Linked DNA regions of Xenopus tropicalis. The protein of the gene in region 1 binds, or shares a complex with, the protein of each later gene. Links are inferred from orthologs where the notes say so. Each region holds a gene or a part of one and is shown in the gene's direction. Other genes may lie near its edges. The genes, in order: sympk and ssu72.

Region 1 (3,822 bases):
CCTTTTCTTATTGACTGATCTTTCCTGCAGTGGGTTGCTCGCTCCCGCCCTCCATCTGAGCAACAAGAATCCTGCTGGGACCTTGTAACTGAGATGGCTGCAGACATCCTCCTCTTGTTGGAATCGGATAATGATGGCATCCGCACTCATGCAGTAAAGTTTGTAGAAAGTTTGATTGTCACCTTGTCTCCTCGTACCCCTGACAGTGAAGTTCCAAAAAGACAAGAAGGGGACATCAGCCTAGAGCAGATCCCTTCTGACCATGCATTCCTTAAATATAGTGAGTTTATCAATAACTTTTGTCTCTTATGACCCTTTAGCATATATTTTTCTCCTACATTCTCCTTGCCCTTTATTCTTCAGATACACTGCGAGATGTAGGAAAACAGGCTGTGAAGGAACTTCTAAAGTTTATGGCTCACCCTGCTATCTCCAGCATCAACCTTACAGCAGCCCTTGGATCTTTAGCATCGATTGCTCGACAGAGGCCGATGTTTATGGCAGAAGTTATCCAGGCTTATGAGACCCTGCATGGTACGGAAAAACATTGCATGCCCTATTCTAGACTTTAAATTCTCTAATCCCTAAATATTTAAGGCAACTTTATAAAAGTAGTGCTTCCTAGTAATACTGTGACCATGTGTAATATCTGAATCATCATACTTTTAATTTGCCATCCTGTAACCTCTCTCCTCACCTCTACAGCCAACCTACCCCCTACACTAGCAAAGTCCCAAGTGAGCAGTGTGCGTAAAAATCTCAAACTGCAGCTATTGAGTGTACTGCGTCATTCATCATCTTATGAGTACCAGGGGCCTATAAGTACTCTCCTGTTAGACTTGGGTACTAGCCAGGGAGAGATAACCAGACATCTTCCTCCGCCAAGGGACAGCAACCGGAAAAGGGCCAGGGAAGATGGTGAAGGGGGACAAAAGAAGAGCCGCACTGGTAAGATTAATGTTATTGTCAAAACAATACAGTAAAAATAAGTGTTTTTTGTTAGAACAATACAGTGGTGTTAAAAATTGCTTAGGGCAAACAGGTACAAAGCATAAAGATCGACTTTATCCAACATATCACAAGTCTCTCCTTTATATGCAGACATTCCACTGCCTGATGACGATGATGATAAAGACACAATACAGCTTCCCACCATTCCTGCTCCTGCACCAAGCACGCAGTCGGCTACAGACATCACAGCTGAATTCCTGCGCCCACTGCTTTCCCCAGAGAATGTGGCAAACCTGGTTAGTGTAACATTTAAAGTCATTGTGTATTAGATTCCAAGGATGTAGCGATCAGGGATTCAAATGCTCTTGCATGGTTGCATTTACTGGACAAAATAATCTTTTAGGGTGAAAGTACACAGAGCTACTTAGTAGCAGCTATTGTCAGGGCTTCTAAACACCAGAAAATATCCTGCCATAGACAATACTGAGAATTGCCTCTGCTAAAAAACACGTAGAGACCAGTCAGTAAATGATCTGCATTGTCTATTTTTGTACAAGCTGCTACTAGTAGCTCTGTGTGTCTTTATCCTTATATTCTAACTTACAATATAGAGTTTATCTATACAGATATTAAGGTTGTTTTCCCTAAGTATTAAGTGAAGAAAAAAGTACAGTACATTTTTTTTAGTTTAAGTGCCATTTAGAAAACTGTGCAAGCTTCTCTAGATTTCCAACAGTATATTAACATGCATTAAGTATATGTTTTAGATTTGTAATGTAAAGCTTGCCTTGTTACTCAAAGCTTGTTTTTCTCTCATATATATCTTCTACACCGTGGTTTGTTAAGACATACAATACTGAATCTTCAGTTAAAGGGAAAATGGGTTAACTTGCAGTCAATTTTCCTATATATTTATTCAGCAGCAGATAAGGCTGATGGCCTGATGGATCTCTGCTACTGCGGGCAACCCCTCTGAAAGCCTATACGTTGCTTTGGCTTTCCGAAGTTTCCTTCTGCAGACATTTTTGCACGACTTAAGAATGCCGAATCAATGCGTGGGCCTTTCAACCGGCGACTCCTATTGTTGCCGGTGAAAAGGCATTTTTGAACGGTTATTTGTCCGCATTAGCAGCGATTGATTGCGGGAGACTAACTGGCTCGGTGGGCCATCAGCTTTAAGGTTCACACATTTTGTTTACGAGGAAGACATCTATAATTATTGATGCTCACCTTTGGGCTGCTATCAGTGCATTGATTCTCCCCCCCATTTGATCTGTCAAAGCTGTGAGTAGCTCAGTGCAGTAGAGCATAATTTATTTTTTATTTTAACTTTGTACATAATTAAACAACAGAAAGTAGTTTTATCCAATATTTGTTCATCAGAAAAATATTTAAAAAAAATTAAAGAATGAAAAAGAATATTGATAACAGGTATCCAGTGAAGTCTTTTATTGTATTGGTAATATCAATATAAACTTTCCTGCTTTTAAAGTTTTTCTAAAACCCTGCTTGTAGAGGTAGAGAATATGGCCTCTGTCTGCACACTTTTGTTATCTGAAATTTGTTTCTCCTGTACTCTAATGAATGATGGCTTTTACAGACCTCATTCTGGTCCTCGGTATCCTTGTGAACAAACTTTAAAGGAATGCTGTCATGGGAAAACATGTTTATTTTAAAAATGCATCAGTTTATAGAGCTTCTCCTTGCACATAGCGCTCAGGCCAAATTTAACTAAGGACCCCACAGTGTTATTGACCTATTGTGCCAGCTGAAAGCACAGGGCATCAGAATTGCATTAAATAGAAATTTCTTTGTTAACTTTATATAAATGGTTACCTTTTTTAGACTTAAGTTGGAAATGTTGTTGAACTCTTTTTCCTACCTATTTATTGTGCTTAGGTGCTCATCAGTATGGTGTATCTACCGGATTCCATGCCTGCCTCCTTCCAGGCCACTTACACTCCAGTTGAGTCAGCTGGGACTGACGCCCAGATTCGCCATCTTGCTAGACTCATGGCTACACAAATGACATCAGTTGGCATTGGTCCAGGTACATTGTAGTTAATAAAAGTTAATATGGCACAAATCATATTGATAGAAAAACATGTTTAAAAGTGCTAACTGAAAATTTAAGAAAATGTAAAAGTTAAGAAGATTTAAGAAAAACTGTTTTTTTTTTACCTTGCATCACATATCTATCTCTGAAATTTTCTGAAACACAACACCAGGGGTTGAGCAGACAAAAGATGTTCCAGTGGATGTAGTGGAGGAAGAGAACACCAAGCCTGAGGGGTTGGTGATCAAACGCCGGATTTCTGCACTTACCAAGGGACAGGCTATATCTGTTTTGGGATGTCAGAGTGAGAAGGCTAAAGAAGAAGAGGAGGAGGAAGATGCTCCACTTGCCAAGAAGCGGCCTGAACCTATACTACCAGCAACTCAGATCAGGTAAAAGCTTACAAACTTTTGTAGCTTAATGTAATATATAATCTTAATAGTAATGAAGTGCTAATTTGACTTCAGCATGTGGAAACTAGAGAGCTGTGAGTGGATCCACACACCACCCTAACACACACATTTGCCCTCTTGTACTTGCAAACATACATTTAACCTGCTACCTTTGTCACCCATTGCCTGACCCAAAATACATATTTGTCCTTTATGTGTTTTATAATTCTTAACACACCTTTACTTAGCATGCAGCTCACAACACTGTCATTCTCATTTATTCTAGGCCTTCTGGTGTTGGAGGTCGTAAGAAGGTATTTAGGTTGAAGGAAGTCACAGAGCCACTTACAGAGGTCCAAATGAAATCATTAAAATTGGGAGCTGTGCAGCGGATCCTCCAGGCTGAGCGCACAGTGGGTAGCT
Region 2 (3,822 bases), on another chromosome or scaffold:
CAAATCCAGGCATAACTTGGTACAATTTACTTCCCAAATAATTCTAAAATGCTGCCTGTAATCGGCTGTATTTTCACGTGTGAATTCCTTATGTGGCCTTTATTGGCTAGGTGGCCCATCACGTGTGAAATTAGACTAAACCAACTCTGCCCACCTGTTGCTTGCTTGACTGCTGGCGAGTGCCTGCTTCCTTTTTATAGTTGTATTACTTTTCCATTAGCATCTTCTCCTTCAAACATTTTCTTCTTGGCAATTGAAACTAGAACTTATTGGTCTGCTGAAAGAATGTGTCTATGCTTAAAGGGGTTGTTCACCTTTGAGTTAACTGTTGGTCTCAGAATATTACTCTATGTTCATCATACTATTTGCAATTGGTTTTTATTTTTTATATTTTTGTTTTAATTATTTCACTTTTTGTTCAAACAAAAGGAATTCTGGGAATGAATTCCAAAACTCTTAAAAAAATCCCATTAACATGGGTTTATCCTATAGGCTACAGCTCACCCACTGGGTTTAAAGCTGAAGCCAGGATAATAGCTGATCAGATTCCCAACTACAGACTGGTTTCACCTTTCTTTGAGGCTCATCAGTGTAGTGCAGGGTTTTCTGATCAGCTTAGGTAGAGTCACCATGTGGTTCTACAAACAAATAAATAAGGTTGAGGAGACTGCCTCATACAGACAAAAGCAAACAAAATTAATTCTGGGAAAAAAATTCCATTTACATGGGTTTATCCTATGAACAACTCTCCAGTCTGGAATTTCAGCAGGTATCTGCTTAGCAACCAGGCAATAGTTTGAAAGAAAGACAGAAACATGGCTGGAGGAGGGCCTAAATAGAAAGATAAGTAACAAAAAGTAAAAATAATTGTAACCTCACAGACAAATCATTAAGGTTGAGGAGACTGCCTCATACAGATACAAGTAAACAAAAGGAATTCTGGGAATGAATTCCAAACTCCTAAAAAAAAAAATCCCATTTACAGAGCAATAGATTTTTGGCTGCTGGCATCCGTCACCCGTCGATTAGGAACTAAAGGAATGCAGCTGCTATTCACTTCCCATATGTAATAGGAACAACAGCTTTGGTCACCCTGTGTATGGCCACTTCTTTAGTATGCAACAGTTCGGCCCATGGGGCTAGCTCTCTTCATGGTAGTGTTAGTGGTAGCAGAACAATGCAGCCACATATCTTTACTCCCATACATGTCCGTGGCACAGGCTATAATGATGATTCTGGCTTGACATTACACCTCTTTATTTCCACTGTAGTGAATGCTTTTCATTTGTAACAAATTATTCCTTGCTGTACCTTGGATCCTTTATTGTACTCAAATAATAATTGGCTTTATTTATTTAATGACCTTTATTAGGGCGAAGACACACTGGGCTACTAGTAGCAGCTACTTTTTCAAGGCTACAAAACTCCAGAAAATCCCCTGCCATATAGACAATACTGAGAATTGCCACTGCTAAAACAGACATAGAGACAATTACAAGTAAATGATCAGCATTGTCTTTTTTTAGTAGCCATGACAAGTAGCTGATACTAGTAGCTCTGTGTGTCTTCACCCTTAGTCTTTTTAGTCTTCAGGATGAGCAACAGGTTACTTCCATATAGCTGAAAGTAAGCCATAGCCAGTGATTTATAATATTATTTGTGTGGCTGCTCTTATTTTAGGAAAGGGAAAACAGGCTTCTTAGGGGTAGTAGTGGCAAATAAAATGACTTGTGTTCGGTAATCTATGTTCTTTGGCTGCATAGATGATTGATGGAAATGATGTCTGTTTACCCTGTTCTTTATATATCCATGGGGTAGCAATATGTATTCCTGGACAGGTCCCAAATACAAAAAAAACACATTTTTTTGTACTGTGCATATTTTCTGCAACCTTTTTGTACATTTGCACATCTTTTTTGTACATTTGCGCGTCTTTTTCGTACTTTGTGCGACTTTTTCGTACTTTGCGTCAAAATTTGTGCGACAAAATTGTATTGTTGCGCCGAGTACGAAAGTTACAGATTCATTCAAGCTTCGTTATTGTGACTTTCCTTGGGCCAGGTTGGAGCTGCAGAGTGCCATTGAGTCCTATGGGAGACTTTCCTTGGGCCGGGTTGGAGCTGCAGAGTGCCATTGAGCCCTATGGGAGGCTTTCCTTGGGCCAGGTTGGAGCTGCAGAGTGCCATTGAGCCCTATGGGAGACTTTCCTTGGGCCAGGTTGGAGCTGCAGAGTGCCATTGAGCCCTATGGGAGACTTTCCTTGGGCCAGGTTGGAGCTGCAGAGTGCCATTGAGCCCTATGGGAGACTTTCCTTGGGCCAGGTTGGAGCTGCAGAGTGCCATTGAGCCCTATGGGAGGCTTTCCTTGGGCCAGGTTGGAGCTGCAGAGTGCCATTGAGCCCTATGGGAGACTTTCCTTGGGCCAGGTTGGAGCTGCAGAGTGCCATTGAGCCCTATGGGAGACTTTCCTTGGGCCAGGTTGGAGCTGCAGAGTGCCATTGAGCCCTATGGGAGACTTTCCTTGGGCCAGGTTGGAGCTGCAGAGTGCCATTGAGCCCTATGGGAGACTTTCCTTGGGCCAGGTTGGAGCTGCAGAGTGCCATTGAGTCCTATGGGAGGCTTCCAAAAACTTGCACAGAAGGATCAAAGTCAGAAAGGTTTTCCTGCCGTTTATGATCGTTTGGATATGAAAATTTTGTGACTTTCGTATCACCAATACGATATTATAGGGCTAATATGATTTTCTCGTAAGCGTTTTCGTGATATTTGCGATGATCAGAAATTATCGTATCTAATCCGAATTTTACCCATTTCAGGATTCAAACTCTTGCTTTGATGAATGTGCTCCTTAGTGTATTGTGCCTATTCAGTTTCTTATATAATAGAATTGCATGAGTTTAATTGAAGAGATATAACTTTGGACCCATGTGGGAAAGGTTAACGGGGTTTGTGGGATGCTAGTGGGAAGGTTGGGATTGTCACAAGTCCTTACCATGCCCTCTAGGTCTGTGGCTGCTGGTTGAACGGACATTTTATTAATGTTGTTGTTATCTAAGTTTTTGCAGGATTGTGTCGCTGTCACAAACTTTTTTTTTTTTTTTTTTTTTTTTAAATACTACCAACAGCAACTGATAGCTACCATTTCCTAATCTGCATCAAAATCCAACATGGCTGCAGATGTCTGGTTAGAGGTGGAACAAAGACCCAAAAGGATGGAGAACAAATGTTACCAGTGTCTCCAGCCTACTGGGTCTTTACCCCATACCCAATATAATAGTAACAGCAACTCAGAGAGAAGAGCTGTCAGATTCAGTATTGATATGTAATCTGTGGGTGGGAAAGAGAAGGATATATTCTGTTTAGTGGTACTTTGTGGTGTAGACAAAATGTACGCCAAGGCCTGTAATATATGTTCTGCTGTAATAGATTCAATGCGAGTTCCAAAATTCCTTAACATAAATCAATCCAGATATACACAAAATGGTATTTTGCACATGCTGGACAGAAATAGAAGGATCAAACCACGACCTGAGAGATTTCAGAACTGCAAGGACAACTTTGATCTAGTGATTACCTGTGAGGAAAGGGTCTACGATCAAGTAGTAGAAGGTGCGTATCAATCCGGGTTGTATCTCATAAACTGCACATGCAATGTAAGCAGATATTGGCACGCCAGTCAAGATGGGAATCTGTTGGTAAGAGCTAGTAAGCAAGTCCTCCAATGTAATCCTCTAATGTAGATAACTCATCTTCTACTTTTCTTATTCTATCAACTATTTGTTATTCATTTATTAGCTAAAAGGCAAACCTTGTGAGTTTTTAT

Evidence for each region.
Region 2: the proteins of sympk (region 1) and ssu72 are in contact, whole or in part, in a crystal structure (PDB 4H3K), measured with the Homo sapiens proteins. The link is inferred for Xenopus tropicalis from reciprocal best matches to the Homo sapiens genes SYMPK and SSU72. Residues at the interface, in NP_004810.2 of Homo sapiens: Val123, Lys127, Leu131, Gln135, Asp175, Asn176, Asp177, Gly178, Thr181, His182, Lys185, Glu188, Pro204, Arg205, Arg206, Gln207, Ser250, Ile251, Thr254, Thr255, Asn262, Ala290, Ser292, Gln293, Ser295, Ser296, Lys299, Asn300, Leu303, His304; in NP_054907.1 of Homo sapiens: Glu113, Tyr116, Asp117, Val120, Asn124, Glu127, Gln128, Glu129, Thr130, Cys131, Gln132, Pro133, His135, Asp167, Glu169, Asn170, Asp173, Gln177, Glu180, Thr186, Phe187, Leu188, His189, Thr190, Val191, Phe193.

What each region holds. Positions count from the first base shown.
Region 1 is NC_030684.2:70,988,515-70,992,336, forward strand, and holds part of sympk (symplekin), read left to right. Parts: intron 1-30; coding exon 31-280; intron 281-363; coding exon 364-534; intron 535-705; coding exon 706-948; intron 949-1,101; coding exon 1,102-1,247; intron 1,248-2,850; coding exon 2,851-3,001; intron 3,002-3,179; coding exon 3,180-3,399; intron 3,400-3,685; coding exon 3,686-3,822. UniProt on the Homo sapiens protein: Scaffold protein that functions as a component of a multimolecular complex involved in histone mRNA 3'-end processing. Specific component of the tight junction (TJ) plaque, but might not be an exclusively junctional component. May have a house-keeping rule.
Region 2 is NC_030683.2:92,445,990-92,449,811, forward strand, and holds part of ssu72 (RNA polymerase II subunit A C-terminal domain phosphatase SSU72), read left to right. Parts: intron 1-3,468; coding exon 3,469-3,608; intron 3,609-3,822. UniProt on the Homo sapiens protein: Protein phosphatase that catalyzes the dephosphorylation of the C-terminal domain of RNA polymerase II. Plays a role in RNA processing and termination. Plays a role in pre-mRNA polyadenylation via its interaction with SYMPK.